Linked DNA regions of Stegostoma tigrinum. The protein of the gene in region 2 interacts with the protein of the main gene of each other region in a biochemical or structural test. Links are inferred from orthologs where the notes say so. Each region holds a gene or a part of one and is shown on either strand. Other genes may lie near its edges.

The links.
Region 1: of the proteins of wnk1b (region 2) and kelch-like protein 3, one has a biochemical effect on the other in vitro, tested with the Homo sapiens proteins (2 studies listed by BioGRID). The link is inferred for Stegostoma tigrinum from reciprocal best matches to the Homo sapiens genes WNK1 and KLHL3.

Annotation. Positions count from the first base shown.
Region 1 is NC_081366.1:35,887,969-35,895,753, forward strand, and holds the start of kelch-like protein 3, read right to left. Parts: upstream 3,030-7,785; 5' UTR 2,901-3,029; coding exon 2,812-2,900; intron 2,719-2,811; exon of another isoform or gene 2,573-2,718; coding exon of another isoform or gene 2,559-2,572; intron 1-2,558. UniProt on the Homo sapiens protein: Substrate-specific adapter of a BCR (BTB-CUL3-RBX1) E3 ubiquitin ligase complex that acts as a regulator of ion transport in the distal nephron.
Region 2 is NC_081371.1:20,509,938-20,518,146, reverse strand, and holds the start of wnk1b (serine/threonine-protein kinase WNK1), read right to left. Parts: upstream 3,111-8,209; 5' UTR 2,037-3,110; coding exon 1,230-2,036; intron 1-1,229. UniProt on the Homo sapiens protein: Serine/threonine-protein kinase component of the WNK1-SPAK/OSR1 kinase cascade, which acts as a key regulator of blood pressure and regulatory volume increase by promoting ion influx.

The DNA.
Region 1 (7,785 bases), on a different chromosome or scaffold from region 2:
CTTTCCTGTGATTAGGGTGTTCTAAACCTTTGGCAATGCTCATAACTGCTCAAAGAAAAGACAAAATGAAGCATGAGACCATAAAAAAAAAATCAATTTGTGGCTTTTCCTGACTCAAGATCCTAGCTGAAGGGAAAATTGGTACAGTGCCCTGGATCACTGCATAAGGAACAGGAACAAAAATACCTGGGCTCTCATTCCTGATCACCGTCTACACAACACATGAGTGCCTATAGATGCTGGGTGCTGACAAGATAGGATTGTGTTAGAGGACTAAAAAAGTTTCATCTATTACTTAAGATTTACAAATAAATAATGGTTACATGGGAAAGTTACTTAGAAGTTTCTGACAGTTTAGGAACCACAAACAATAATAATAATAACAAAAAATCCATCCTGAAAAGGAATCAATGAAATTGGTTTATACCAGTGCAATCACACAATATAGCAGCACCACACACAACATTAATATGAGCTAGACTATAAGCCACATTGAAGGAATAAACTGCTCTGTTCTGGCTGAGACCTGACAGACTCAAGGTCAAATAACCTCCTTCTGCACTGTAACCACTCTGATTCCACAAAATGAATGACCACTTTAAAGGAACCCTTTAAAGGTAGTGCGAGGGAAATATCTTGCATTTAAATTCTAAGATAGGGAATTTCAAGACTAGGAGGCACATTTTTAAAGGAGAGAGGAGGAGATTTAAAAAACACAAGGCAAATTGTTTTTACAGAGGACGGTTTGCTTGTGGAATGAACTTCCTGATGAACTGGTGGAAATGGATACAATTAGAATGCTGAAAAGACATTTGGATGGATATCTGAATAGGGCAGATTTGGAGGGAAATGAGCCAGGTGTATGCAGGTGGGACCAGTTTAGTTTGGGATTACGGTCAGCATGAACTGGTTGGAATGAAGGGTCTAGTTTCCATGCTGTATGACTATGCAGACTAGGTGGTGATGACGGCATTTGGCAGATTTGTCTTCATCGGTCACTGCATTGAGTACAGAAGTTGAGACATCATGTTATCAGTGTACATGACATTGGTGAAGCCACTTTTGGAATACTGTTGATCTACAAAATACGTTGTTAAAACTTGAAAGGTGTCAGAAACGACTTACAAGAATGTTTCCAGGATTAGAGTATTTGAGATACAGGGAGAGGCTGAATAGGTTAAATATTTTTCCCTGGAGTATCTGAGGCTGAGGGGGTCTTTACTTAAGGTTTACAAAATTATGAGGGGCATGGATAGGCTGAAGAGCCAAGATTTTTTTCCCCAGAGTAGGGGAGTCCAAAACTAGAGGGCTTAGGGTTAAAGCTAGAGGGGAAAGATTTAAAAAGGGACCTCAGAAAAGCCTTTTTTTAAATGCAGAGGCTGGTGTATGTATGGAATGAACTGCCACAGGAGGTGGTGGAAGTGGGTACAATTACAACATTTAAAAGGATGGGTACATGAATAGGAAAGGTTTAGGGGAATATGGGCCAAATACTGGCAAACAGGGCTAGTTCAGTTCAAGATATTTCAATGAGTTGAACTGAAGGATCTGTTTCCATGCTGTAGAAAACTTCCCAAGATATTTCACAAGAGTGTGATCAAACCAAATATTAGTCAGGATCTCTGCATGTATACCACTTCTTCCTAGCTATAAGGAGTCCTTAAGAAGGGTCACTGGACTTTCTCTCCACAGATGCTTCCAGACCTGCAGAGATTCTCCAGCAACTTCTGTTTTTGCTATTTATAATGTAAACCCTGAATTCCTCAGCCTCAGTTTGCAGTGAGTAGTTAAAGTCTTTTGGGTAGCTAGGCTAACTTGCACTTACTTACACCTTTCTAGGCAATAATTAAGAGGAAGGCAACAAAGTTATAGCTTAAATGTTGACCGCATCCAATAAACACCATTACCATCAGGCCTGGAAAATTGTTGCTGTGAAGTTTTTGACTGATACTATTCAATCTACAAGAATATTGAGATACGAAGTGCTGTTAGTACTAGTACTGTTTTATATATGATGTGTAGTGGACAGTACTGGCATTGTCTGAACCTCAAATTAGCACATCTGATATTTCATGGTAATGATTCAGATCTATAGGGCAGCTTCCCGCATTTCGCAAACATATGCATTAGTCCAACACCGGCACCTCCATAGCATGAATTACTCCGAAAACTTACAAAATGCACCGCAGTACCAAGGAAATGACAAAATTTTGGAATTTGTTTTTTTTATATCCAGAATCGCGAAGCGCTTTAAAATACACAGTCATGATCGAGAAACCTGTCAGAATCAGAAATGTGCACCGGATATATCTGCAGAACAGGATGCAATCAAGTGATTCTCAAGTTAAGAAATAAAGTTGGTTTACATATTCACACACATTAAGCAGATAAACTGCACGCGTGTTTTAAAAAGAGCTTAGTGACAGTCACGGTTTTGAGGCAGGGATCAGGAAAGCAGCCCACCCATAGAGCGGGACAGGACGGGGATGAGGGAACAACTTGTTCAGACGGAGAGCGAGTATCAGGGAGGCAGGTGAAAAGGGTCGCTCCCAACCTACCCTTCATCCTCCATAGTGTGGAGTGTTGGTGTTCGACGGCCGCATTCCCTTGGGCCCGGCTCCAAGTAGCCGGCCGGGATGAAGGGCTAGTCTCGTCCAACCCGGCCCTGCTCACGGAGCTCGGACTGAGGGCCTCAGCTCGGCGCCATAGCAGCGGCTCGCGCTCTCTCAGGACCCTGCCCTTAGCTCCCCGCCGCAGCGCCTGACTCCACAGTGTTGGCCGGTTGCCTGGCAGCGGCGGCGAGAGACTCACCTGGCTCCTGGGCACCGTCCACCTCCACCGGTAGCGGTACCACCGCTGCGAGATTCCGCAGCATTTCTCGCCGTGTTGCAGGGATTCATACAGCTCACTGTACAGCGGGGAAAGGATTTGCTGCGCGTTGTGTTTTACCCTCCTTTCGCTACCCGAACAAATCTGCCTCTCCGAAAGTTTTGTTTTCGGACGACTTGCTGCTGTTTCTCACCAGAAACTCTCACGTTGTAAGCAAGAGGGGAAAATAAGAGTTGGCCAATGTCAGCAGACTGAGGTCAACAAACCAATCAAAGAAGTGCAACGTTCAACTAACAAATAAATATTTGCTGATGTAAATTGAGTTGCTCTTGGCTAGGGAAGGAGGTACAGGGTGGCGTGTATTCAATCAATAAAATATAACTGTGCCTCTAGGAACAGTTTTGGGAGAGTTGACCTTCTGTGGGAATTCTTAAATTCCACCCCTTCCTCTCTACATTTTGTGATGTTTTTGAGGTTTGGAAGAATGATCTCACATATCCAGTCATTCCCAGAGTTTTATTTTTCCTGAGTAATCTGCTTTAAAGTGGTCGGTGAACTGTTTCTCTCTCCACAGATACAAAGAACTGCTGCCATTTGAAGCAATTTCTGCTTTTAATTCATGAGAATTTTTGTTTATTTCCAGGTCACTGCCCAAACTCGCTTATAAACAACAGCAATCTACCTTTCTCCCGTTCAGTCCGTAATCGCCAGCCTGTGCCTTGAGGATTCAGTATAGCAGGAATTTTGGCTACACTCCCAGTGATGTTTGGCAGTGTCAAAGCGTCATAGAGAAGATTCTACTAAGTAGAACTAGAAGATTATACGGAGTTTTGCAACTAGCATTTACAGATCTTGCACATTATTTCCAGATTAGGGAACACAATCGAGGGAAAAAGAGATTAAGCAGTGTTAAAAAGGTGCAAACTGCAAACAGGAACAATGAACAAAAGGCCACAAATAATAATGTCAGTCTGTACCACCAAAAATACACTATTACCTGCTCTGGTCGCACTTTCCAGCAGAGATAACGGGAACTGTTATGTCGGATTCTTCAGCGTTTGCAAGTGTGGAGCTGGATGAACGCAGCAGGCCAAGCAGCATCTTGTGCTCCTAAGATGTTGCTTGGCCTGCTGTGTTCATCCAGCTCCACACTTTGTCATATCGCACTTTCCAGCAGCCGCGTTACGGCCTAAACAATGTTTTACATGGCTCGAAAATGACTTCCCTTATAATCAATGCCATGACTGATACAGGCAGGTATCCCATATGCCTTCCTAACCACAATATTTGTTGAATGATTACAGAGTTTATGCTCCAGGCCCTAACTGAGAAGCCTTTCCAGATATTTATTATTTGTGTGATAATTACTTCCTGTATCGTGCCTCAAACGTTTTTTTTCATGCTTATGGTTAAACCTAACCCAGTACTCTGGAGTTAATTGACCAGAAAAAGAAATTAAGCATCTTTAATTCCTCTATCAAGTCCCGTTTCATTCTTATCTTTTCAAACTGGAAATTTCTGATTTTTATTTAAAAAGCTCTTGCAATATTCTGGAACAGGTCATCTCTGCTTCTTGCAGTATTTTCATTCTGTCTCAGTGATCGAAGATGAACATGACCAGAAGTGAGTTTAAGGAGTTTAAGAGTCTTGTGGTGACTCCTACGACCACTGAGCATCAGAGTGGCACACAAGCCCACATCAGTCCTACGACAACTGCTCACCTGAACTAAAGAACAACTTCCCGCCATGGACAGGAGCAAATGTCAACTACCTGCAGTGACTGTGAGAAACGTTACATCGGGCAAACAGGAAGGAAGCTAACAAGAGTACAACTGGCTACAAAAAGACACGACCAGTCCTCACTCATCTCAATCCACATGGACAAGGAGAACCACCATTTCGACTGGGACAACACCAAAATCCTGGACAAGCCAGGCAGAGACAGGCATGAGAATTCCTAGAAACCTGGCACTCTACGAAGCATGCAATTAATAAACATATTGAGCTTGACGCCATATACATTCCACTGCGAAGGAAAACTGGAAGTGAGACATTCCATCTCAACGGACCCGGGAGTTTAAATGCCAGGCGGGAAAACACACCAACGCTTCGTCGGAGGCTGCACTCAGGATGTTACCCAGCATGGTAACAAAACATCTGCAAAATAAGAAACCAGCTTGGTAAGCCAACCAACCTCAACACCCACAATCCCAGCTACAAATCTACTCCAAAACCTTATCGTGGAATCGTACAGCACATAAGGTGACAGCTTGACCCGCTATGCCTGGGATGGATCTTTAGAAGAGTCATCCAATCAGTCATTTTCCTCTAATACTTTCCTCTAGTATTTATCCATTCCTCAACTGTGACTATTCAAACTGTTTCCACCAATGTTTCAGGTAGTATTTTCCAGATCAAAAATCTTCTTAAATCTATGTCCTTTGATCATCATCTATTTTGGCATTGAAGAGTTTCTCTTTGTTTAGCAATTCATGATTTTGAACATCATTACCAAGTTAAGGTGCTCTTCTCAAAGACAGCAGCCTATGAATTTAACCAATTTACATTATGATTTTAAAATGCTTGCTTTTGATCATAATCCAGTCCTGCTAGAAAGTACAGCAGACATAAGATTAAAATAAGATCATATTTAACTAACAGTCAACATTCACTGATTCCCCTCATACATAAAGAATAACAGCTTAGACGCAAAAACAGTAGCCATGGAACCATAACCAGCATGATCAGTTATTGACCCTGGAAGAAGTACAGTGAAACAGGATTTCAAGCAACTACTTTTTTCCAGGTTTAGCATAATCATTATTTATATAAAAAAGGAAGACATGCAGTTTCATATTTTCTATGAATAAGACCCACGTCCTCAAGGATTTCCTTGGTAACACTTTGCTGGCCCTTGCAGGGAGGGGGAGTTTATTTGCACCGAAGAATGACAAACAATTGAAAAGAAAAGTTACATTTTCAACATATTTTGTGATCCACTTCTACCAGAATTTATGTCAATTCCAGCTCTGAAGTTCAAACATTCATGTGTGACAAGATTAAATTGCATATTTGAACTTCCAGAAAGAATTTCATTGCTGATTTAATGATTTTTTTAAAAAACTGTTTTCATCAGACACTGGTATCACTGCCAAGACCAGTATTTATTACCCATCTGTAATTGCCTGGAGAAAGTGATGATGAGCTGCCTCCTTGAATCTTTGCAGTCCAGGTGATTGTTTGCAGTGCTGTTTTGTGGGGAAATGAAGGAGTTTGACCCAACAATGAAGAAGAAATTAAAGCACATAATATTAAGCAGCATGATACAACTTGGATAGGAAGTTGGTCAAAGTAACAAAAAAGGAAATAATGGTTAATGGAACTTTCTCGATAGGAGTGATGCAAACATTAGTTTTCTCTTGGTTTTTACATCTTAATGACCTGGAATTAGGTGGCAGGGCATAGTTTCAAAATTTTCTGCCAATACAGAAAAATGATGCATTGTTAACTAAAGTGATTTCAGGAGGTCCATAGACAAGTTAATAGATTCCCAAACAAAACTGACAAATTTTATAACTGACAATGTGTCATATGTCACTAAAATGATAAGAGAATCACAGACTGGTTCAAGAATACACATTTTTCAGAAGTTTATCCATTTGTTTAAAAAAAAGCATGCAGATGCCAAGTTTGTAAATGATGATCAAAGACTACTAAAACAGTGATCCAACACTGAACCCGTGAAGCTCATCACTAAGGCCAGAAAAATTACCGCCCCACCCATTCCAGGTTACATGTGCCTTATCATATTACCTTAGCTACAGTGAGATCTTCAAATTTGGTTTCTCCCCTGATTTCTTTAGCACCTTGCTTTGTTTCAATATCTAAAACATTTCATTATCTAAGTCTCTTATTTTAAAATCATTGTCTACTCACTTCCAAGTTACTACAGATATGAATGGAAACATCCATGACCATTGCCACCTTCATGTTAAGCCAATCACAGAATTTTACAGCATAGACACAAGGCATGTAGCCATCACTCTTATTTTGAACTTTAAGAACCAAACAAACCTTTCCCTCTCCTTTACTTAACTTCATCCCATCAATACTCTTTATCCTTTCTACCCTCGTGTTTGTATCTAGCTCCCCCTCGATATATCTACTTGCGTCATCTATTGCACCTAGCAGGAAATTGCACAATCTCTGAATGAAGTTTCTTGAGTTGTCCACAAAGTTAAACCCCATAGAATAAAAGGGACAATAACAATAAGAATGCAACGTTGGTTCACCAACAGTGTTAGCAAATAATTGTTTCTCGGACTGAGGTCGGTATTTGTTCTACTCTTAATCTCTATTAATTATCTTGACATAGTGTAGCGCAGGTCACAATTACAGAAGTTACAAATGACCCAAAGCCAGCAGAACTGTGGTGGACAGCAAGAAGCTGTAGAAAGTGAAATGCGCCCATTCAAAGCACTACAATTTAATGCAAGGAAATGTGAAATGATGGAGGCAGAATGAGAAAAGGCAAATAAAACACATGATTCTTAAGTGGGTGCAAAATCATAAACACTGGGAGTATATATGTACAAATCACTGAGGGTGACAAAGGTTCTGAAAGCAGTTAAAGCATCCAGAATCCTGAGATTTATTGGTATACAGTACAAAAACAAGGAAGTTGTGTTGAACCTTTACAGAAAACTGGTTCAGGCTTAACTGAAGTAGTGTTCGATTCTGGCCATGACATCATGAAAGATCCAAAGACATTGGAAAGAATGCAGAAAATAAATAAGAAGAATGGTGCTGAGAATGAGAGACTTCAGTTATGAGGATTGATTGTGGAAGCCAGAATGGTTCTTTTTAGATAAAAGCAAAAGGCCACCGACTCCCACAGTTACCTTCAATACATCTCCTTAAGACTGTCCTTCTTGCAAGGATTCCATTTTACTAGCT
Region 2 (8,209 bases):
AAAGTGTCACTCAAGTCTTGCCCACATAATCCACAATCACACCTCTGCAGTACTGCCAGCTTGCTGCAACTTGGGAGGTATTGTCTTTTAAACAAAGCATCAAATGGAAACTTTCTGGTACAAGATGGTAGTAAAACATCACGTCACTACTTGCATTTGAAAATGAGATCTCTCTCCACTGTTCTGGAAAATACTTTTCCTTCAATGTCACTGAAACAAGTTATCTGGCCTTTACGTTGTCACATTTCTTTAACTACACAAAAAGGAACCTCTTTGCCACTTCTCACCATATACATGTATAAAATAAAATAACCTAAAAATATAAATATATACACAACAGAATCTATGGCATGGATTGTCAAATCAACGGTGCATAATTGAAACTAACATAATCAAGCGTCCAATGAAGGGCTAGGTACATGCATTTTGAACTCTACTCAAATTCAGTTAAAAGAACACAAACTTAAGCTACACTAATAGGAAAGTTCTCAGCCAAACATCCAGTCATCCTATACTGATTTCAAACAGGGTGACAGAAGGGTCTAGGCCCGAAGCGTCGGCTTTTGTGCTCCTGGGATGCTGCTTGGCCTGCTGTGTTCATCCAGCCTCACATTTTATTGTCTTGGAATCGCCAGCATCTGCAGTTCCCATTATCTCTGACAGAAATACACCAGTCTTAACACCTCATACCATGCCAACCCGCTGTGAGAGAATGAGGATGAGGAGGAGAGAGAGGGAGGTAAAACACAATTTTCAATTCAAAATATAGTCCAGCAAGCTCTATTCAAAATCATTCTTGTGGAAATATCAAATTTATTCAGCATTCATGGTCAAAGGTATCAATGTTCAAGACCATATCAAACCTGAACAAGAAGTTGTCAAAATGAAGAAAAATCACAGCAGGTTTTAATGGGACACAAGTTGTTAGTACCCTGGGAATGAATCCCTTAATAATACTAAAAAAAAGCTTTCAGATTCTAAATTATGCTTCTAATTGGCAAGTGTCAATGAATTATATTGCCACCTTTAATTTTAAGGTCTGCACACCACTTCTTTCAGAATCACAGCAATGATACAGGGCAGAAGGTGGCCATTCAGCTCATATCAAACTATCCTTTGGTAGTTAAATTTCTTTGAAAATACAAATACTAATGCAACAAGGATTTAAATGAAGTGGCTAGTCTTCCCAATGAAGACAAACGTGCCGACAACAAAAATACACAACTTACCTGCAATTCACACCAAGCTACTTCCACTGTAGTTTCTGTGTCTAGACCTTTATAGACGGTTTTGAAAGAACCTCTCCCAATTTCTATATCGAACTTCAAAAACCTCCCATCGGGGGAGGTTGCCACAGCCTTAGTCTCTATTTCTTCATTATCTTCTTGCGCCTTCCTCTCCTGATTTTTTGCCTCTTCCGCTTCTTTGCTCTCTGAACTATCATCATCGTTAGCTTTCAACTCGGTTTCCTCTTTAATTGGAACTGATTTTTGTTTTTTTCTGTCTTTGCTGCTACTGGTTGTAGTCCCTGCATGGTTGCAAACATCGGCATCGAGCGAACGAACAGCAGTTCTCGGTCGTTCATCGCCAATTCCAGCAACTGTGCTTCCATCCTTCGTATTGCCATCAACGCACTTTTCACATTTTTCTCCGGCAAAAACAGGAATTGCCGCAGTGACCGAGTCAACTGTCGTAGCTTGTACAGGAGGTTGCGCTTCGTTATTAATAGTAATACTGCTTATTAATGAAGCTGCATTATCCGATTCGGGTGGCGAAACGATAATACATGTCTTACTGGGCAGATGGTCCAACGCTGTAACGTTGGAATCACAGATCACACTTCTCCTGATAAAACGTTGGTGCTCTGCTTTGCTGTCCTTATCCATAGTATGTCGCCGCCTCCTAAGAGCCTTAAACTCTTCTTTTTTTCTCAAACTTACTCCAAAACGCTCCCCTATTGTCGTATCTGAACTCGAATTGGTACCATTTTTAGGGGGGCGCAACAAAGACCCAACATTGTCTGCGTTTTCCGACATTTCCACAAAAACTCAATTCCCAAAAGACTTCCCCAGAAGAATTCAGTGGTTTCTCTTCAAACAAGATTTCAACGCGAAGCACACTGCCGGTCAAATGGTTGAAATGCAATAAAAAGTACCAATTACGCGTAAAGACAAATGCAACCTGATTTTCTTTGAGAAGTCAAAATAATTCCCTGTTATGTTTGCGCAAACAGTCGGGTCCCTGGAACTGAAGCGTTCCGATATAAAAAATGAGATACGCAATATTGTCCAACTCAATCAGTTGCAACGCAGCGACATAAACATGGATCATCTGTTGTGATCCATCCATCCTTAATTAAAAATTTCGAACAATTTTCATCCAGTCTTCATTTCTCAAAAGGGCGATAAAGAAATTTAAAATGAAAATGAAAATCCAACCGATATAAACAAAGCCAAAACAGTTCCTTATTCCCGGATTAACTCCAAAAATAATATACTTTAAAACGGCCAGAACAAAAAAAGGGACAATCAACGCAACAATCCCTTTCAGCGATGCTGCTAGTTTCTGTTCCCTCACTAGAACAATTCCACGGTTATGGAAATGCGTCGGTTTATTTTAAGCACAGATAATATACAACGCCACGACTGCCCCGTCGATGCCATAAGGTTCTGCTCTTTCAAGCTTTCAAAATGGATGCGATGCCCATGGTTTTAAAGAAAAGTCACCAAAATTTAAATAGCCGACAGACGTGCAGGCTGCCAGATGGACTAGGCCGGGATGCTGCAACAATAGAAAACCCCAGGGTAAGGTCGATCTGCCGGGGGAGAGGCTCACTGCAGAGCTGTCCACATACGTAACATCCCGGCTTCTTCTCTTCCTCTTGTACTGGAATCGACTTTTCAAATAAAAAATACGCCCAGCCGGTTTCCTTAACGAACAAGTATCGTAGACCCAAGCCCGGGCCCCCCACACAGAACGGGGGAGGGGGGCAAAGAAGGTAAAACAGGCGAATCTCTCAGCTCGAAAATAGACACGTTCTTCCTCCCAACTGTAAATGGCGGATACACTGCCTCTAACTCACTTACTGGCACTTTCCGAGAAGCTGAGTGCTCGAGCTCAAGGCAACCCATTCACATGCGCAACACCACCGCACAGCCAATTGGGAAACGTAGTTTTTCCATTACAATTAGCAGTGTTGGCACATAGTTCGATTTGAAACACGCAAAAACGGAACTACAGTTCCCATCATGCTACGAGAACATTTCAGTTGGTTGGCGTTTATTTATTCCGCCCACTTTGCGTCTCTGTGGGAGCGTTGAGCTGAGCACGTGATATGGACAATAGGAGGACGGAAAAGGATGAGCTGTGGGTACCAGGGGAGGGGGCGAGGCTGGTTTTGGAAGCTTTGGTTATTGAAGGCGGAAAAGATTATATTTATTAAAATAGGCAATGATCTTCTCCAACTGCACATTCCTTCTGAAATGCACAGGTTTTAAATTCAATAAATCGTACATCGTTGCATGGTGGCGTGATAGATTCTCTCCTGGATGGTGATTCTCCAAATGAAATATAAGTGAAATAAAACCTTCGTAAGTAATTCCAGAACAAACATACATCTGAATTAACATACAGCGCACTGAGAGGGTTCAGAATCTAGAATGAGAAGCTGATTAAAAGCATTCTGGGTGCGTAAAATTCATCAAAATTAATTTCTGTTTCAATTTCTGTTTATTCAGGACCTGCTCGGCCTCGTTAAAACTACCGCACTGGATATTGCACCATCATAGTGAACAAAGTAAAATACATAGTTAAATCCTTCTGAAAACCTAATTTGCTCGTTCATTTTCGTTCGACTACGCTGCTTTCTTCGGTTAGCTTTAACTTTCAGCAGCAGAAATACACGACGATGGACGAGCTCTTGAATGCAAGCACGATGTTTGCAATGTAATTGTACGTGAAGACATTGCAGTAAGATCAAGAGAATTTTTTTTAAAAATCGACTAATTTGCTTTAATTGTAAACCTTCTAGTTAAGAGGATATATGAATGGCCTTTTACCAGGCCAATATTTTATAAGGAGAAATTGAAAATATGAGCAGGAGTAGGCTATTTGGCTTGAAGCCTACTCTACCATTCAATATGATCATGGCTGATCATCCAACTCAGCACCTTGTTCCTGCTTTCTCCCCATACCATTTTACCCCATTAACCCTAAGAACTATATTTTACTCCTTGAAAACGTTGCATGTGTTGGCCACAGCCACTTCTTGTGACATAGAATTCCACAGGTTCACTGCTGTCTGGGTGAGGAACTTTCTCCTCTTCTCAGTCCTAAATGACCAACCGTGTATATTTAGGCAGTGACCACTTGTTCTGGACTCTCCAGACATTGGAAATATTATTTTCTTTTATTCACTCGTGGGATGTGGGTCTTGCTGGCTGGCCAGCATTTATTGCCTATCTGAGTTGCCTTTGAGAATGTGATGGTGAGCTGCCACCTTGAACCACAGCTGTCCATGTGATATGGGATGGCCCATAATAGCCTTAGGGAGGGGCTACAAGGATTTTGAACCAGCAACATCAAAGGAACGACAATACATTTCCGATTCAGTGGTGAGTGGCTTGGAGGGGAAACTTGTAGGTGATGGTGTTGCTTTGTATCTGGTGCTCTTATCCTTCCAAATGAAGGTGGTTGTGGGTTTGGAAGATGCTGTCTAAGGATCTTTGATCAATTTCTGGAGTGCATCTTGTAGACAGTACCCACTGCTGCTACTGAATTTAAGTTGTGGAGGGAGCAGATGCTAGTGGATGTGATGCCAATCAAATGGGCTGCTTTGGCCTGAATGGTGTCAAGCTTTTTGAGTGTTGTTGGAACTGCACCTATCAGGCAAGTGGGGAATATTCCATCACACTCATTTCTTAAACCTTGTAGATGGTAGATAGGATTTAGGGAGTCATGAGCTGAATTATTCCCCGCACCTATAGCCCCTAACCTCTTGTGTTTATGTAATGAGCCCGGTTCTGTTTCCAATCAGTGGTTACCCCAAGGATGTTGATAAGGAGAAAGCGATTTGGTGATGGTAACACCATTGAATGTCAAGGGGTAGTTGTTTGATTATCTCTTATTGGAGAAAATCACTGTCTGGCATTTTCAAGGTGCAAATGTTACTTGCCATTTGTCAGCCCAAGTCTGGATATTGTCCAGATCTTGTTACATTTGTGCACGGACTGCTCCTGTATCTGAGGAGTCATAAATGGTGTTGAATATTGTGCAGTCATCTGTAAACATTCACGTTTCTGATCTCATGATGCAGGGAATGACATTGATGAAGCAGCCGAAGATGGTTGGGCCTAGTCTGAGAAATTCATGCAGAAATGGCCTGCAGATGGGATGACTGATCTCCAGCATCAACAGTCATCTTCCTGTGTGCGAAATGTGACTCCACCCAGCGGAGAGTTTGCCCTGTGATACCTATTGATCCCAGTTTTGCTAGGGCTCCTTAATGCCACAGTCATTCAAATGCAGCATACTTCTCAAGGGCTGTCACTCTCACCTCCACTCTGAAATTCAGTTCTTTGTCCGTATTTGAATGAAGGCTGTAATGAGGTCAGGATCTGAGTGGCCCTGGCAAAACCTAAACCAGGCATCACTGAGCAAGTTATTGCTGAACAGTGCTGCTTGATAGTTGGTGACACCTTCCATCTCCTTAATGATGATTGCGAATAGACAGACAGATTGGTAGTTGGCCAGTTTTTTTGTATAAGGCGTTATTGGACAATTTTCCACATTGTTAACTAGATGCCAGTGCAACTGTACTGAACCACTTGGCAAGGGGAGCAGTAAGTTGAGGAGCACAGGTCTTCAGTACTGTTGCTGGAATGTTGTCAGAGCCTTTGACTTCGCAATTTCCAATGCATACGACTGTTCCTTGATGTCGCAAGGAGTGAATTGACTTGACTGAAGGCTGATATCTACGATGTTGGGGGACAATTGAAAGAGGCTGAGACGGTTTATCCGCTCAGTACTTCTGGCTGAAGATTGCAGCGAATGCTTCAGCTTATCCTTTGCACTGTTTACTATGTCAAATCCTATTTGAATTTCATAGATTTAAATGAGATCTCCCTCCCCATCATTCTTCTAATCTCCAGTGAATATTGTCCTAACTGATCCATTCTCTGTTCATACTATCAGTCCTGCCATGCCAGGAATCAGTCTGGTGAACATTTGTTGTGCTGCCTCCGTAGCCAGAACATTCTTCCTCAGTTAAGAAAACCAAAACTGCACACCTACTTCTCAAGGTATAGTTTGCCAGTGTTCCATACAATTGCAGCAAGACATTCACGCTCCTGTTTTTAAACCCGCTTGTTGCAAAGGCTGACATACAAGTTGCCTTCTTTGACACCTGCTGCAGCTGCATGCTTACTTTAAGCAACTGGTGTACAGGTACACACAGGTTTTGATGCACCTTCCCCCTTTTTAAATATATTACCGTTTAGATAATAAACTGTCCTTTTTTTTGGTACCAAAGTGCAACCTCACATTTATCCACACAGTACTTCATCTACTTGCTCAATTTACCCAAATCGCGCTGATGCATTTCAGCATCCTTCTCATAGTTCAACACCTCTTACGGTTAGTTGCCTCATCTAAATATTTAATGTATATTGTAAATAGGTGGAGCCCAAGCACTGATCCCTGTGGTACCCCACTCGTCACCACCTGCAACTCAGAAAAGGTTTATTCCTATTCTTTGTTTCCTGTCTGTCAGCCAGTTCTCTATCCATGTCAATGCATTAGCCTCAATCCCACATGCTTTAATTTTACATGCTAATCTCTTATGGGGAACCTTATCGAAAACATTTTGAAAATCCAAGTAAACCACATCTACTGAATCCAACTTTATCAACTATACTAGTTACATCTTCAAAAAATATGAGTAGATATGATTTATCAAGCATGATTTCCCTTTCATAAATCTCAGCTAACTTTGTCTGATTCTGATACAATTTTCCAAGTTTTTTACCATTAAATTTTTTCCAGCATTATCTCTACTATTGATGTCAGGCTCACTGATCTATAATTCGCTACTTTATTCTTAGAAACCGTTCCAGACTAGAGCCAATAGAATCTTGAAAGGTGACCACCAATGCATCCATTATTTCTCGGACCACTTCCTTGAGTATTGTAGGATGTAGGTTATCAGCCACTGGGGATTTATTGGCCTTTAATCCTATCAATTTCCCCAAAACCATTTCCCTACCAAACCTAAGACAACAAAGTGTGGAGCTGGATGAACACAGCAGGCCTAGCAGCATTTTAGGAGCACAAAAGCTGACATTTCGGGCCTAGACCCTTCTTGAAGAGTCTAGGCCCGAAATGTCAGCTTTTTGTACTCCTAAGATGCTGCTTGGCTTGCTGTGTTCATCCAGCTCCACACTTTGTTATCTCGGATTCTCCAGCATCTGAAGTTCCCATTATCCCTACCAAAACTGATTTCTTTCAATTCATTCATCTCTCAATACCTTGTGATCCCCAACATTTTTGGAACACAATTTGTGTCATCCTTTGAAGCAAAACCAAAATATGTACTTAGATAACAAGGTGTAGAGTTGGATGAACACAGCAGGCCAAAACATCAGTTTTTCTGCTCCTCTGATGCTGTTTGGCCTGCTGTGTTCATGCAGGTACACCTTGTTATCTGATTCTCCAGCATCAGCAGTTCCTACTATCCCAAACTGTGTACTTACTTGGTCTGCCATGTCTTTATTCCCCATTATAACTTTCCCTGTTTCTAACTCTAAGGGACCTACATCTGTCTTCATGAAATACTTTCTCTTCACATATCAATAAAAGGTTTTACAAATAATTTGTATATTCCTTGCAAACTTACTCTTATACTCTATATTCCCCATCTTAATTAATCCCTTTGTCCTTCTTTGCTGAAATCTAACCTGCTCCTGATACTCAGGTCTGTTACTTTTTTGGCCAGTCTGTATGCCCCATCCTTAGATCTATCACTATTTTTAATTTTCCGTGTTAATCATGATTGGGCACCTTTTCCATTTTATTTTTGTGCAAAACTGGAATAAACAATTGTTGCAGTCCCTCCATTAGCTATTTAAATGTTTGGCATTGCATATCCATCATCATATTATGGTCATTTTTCCCAAACCATTTCAGACAGCCTGACTATGATTTATACCTTTCT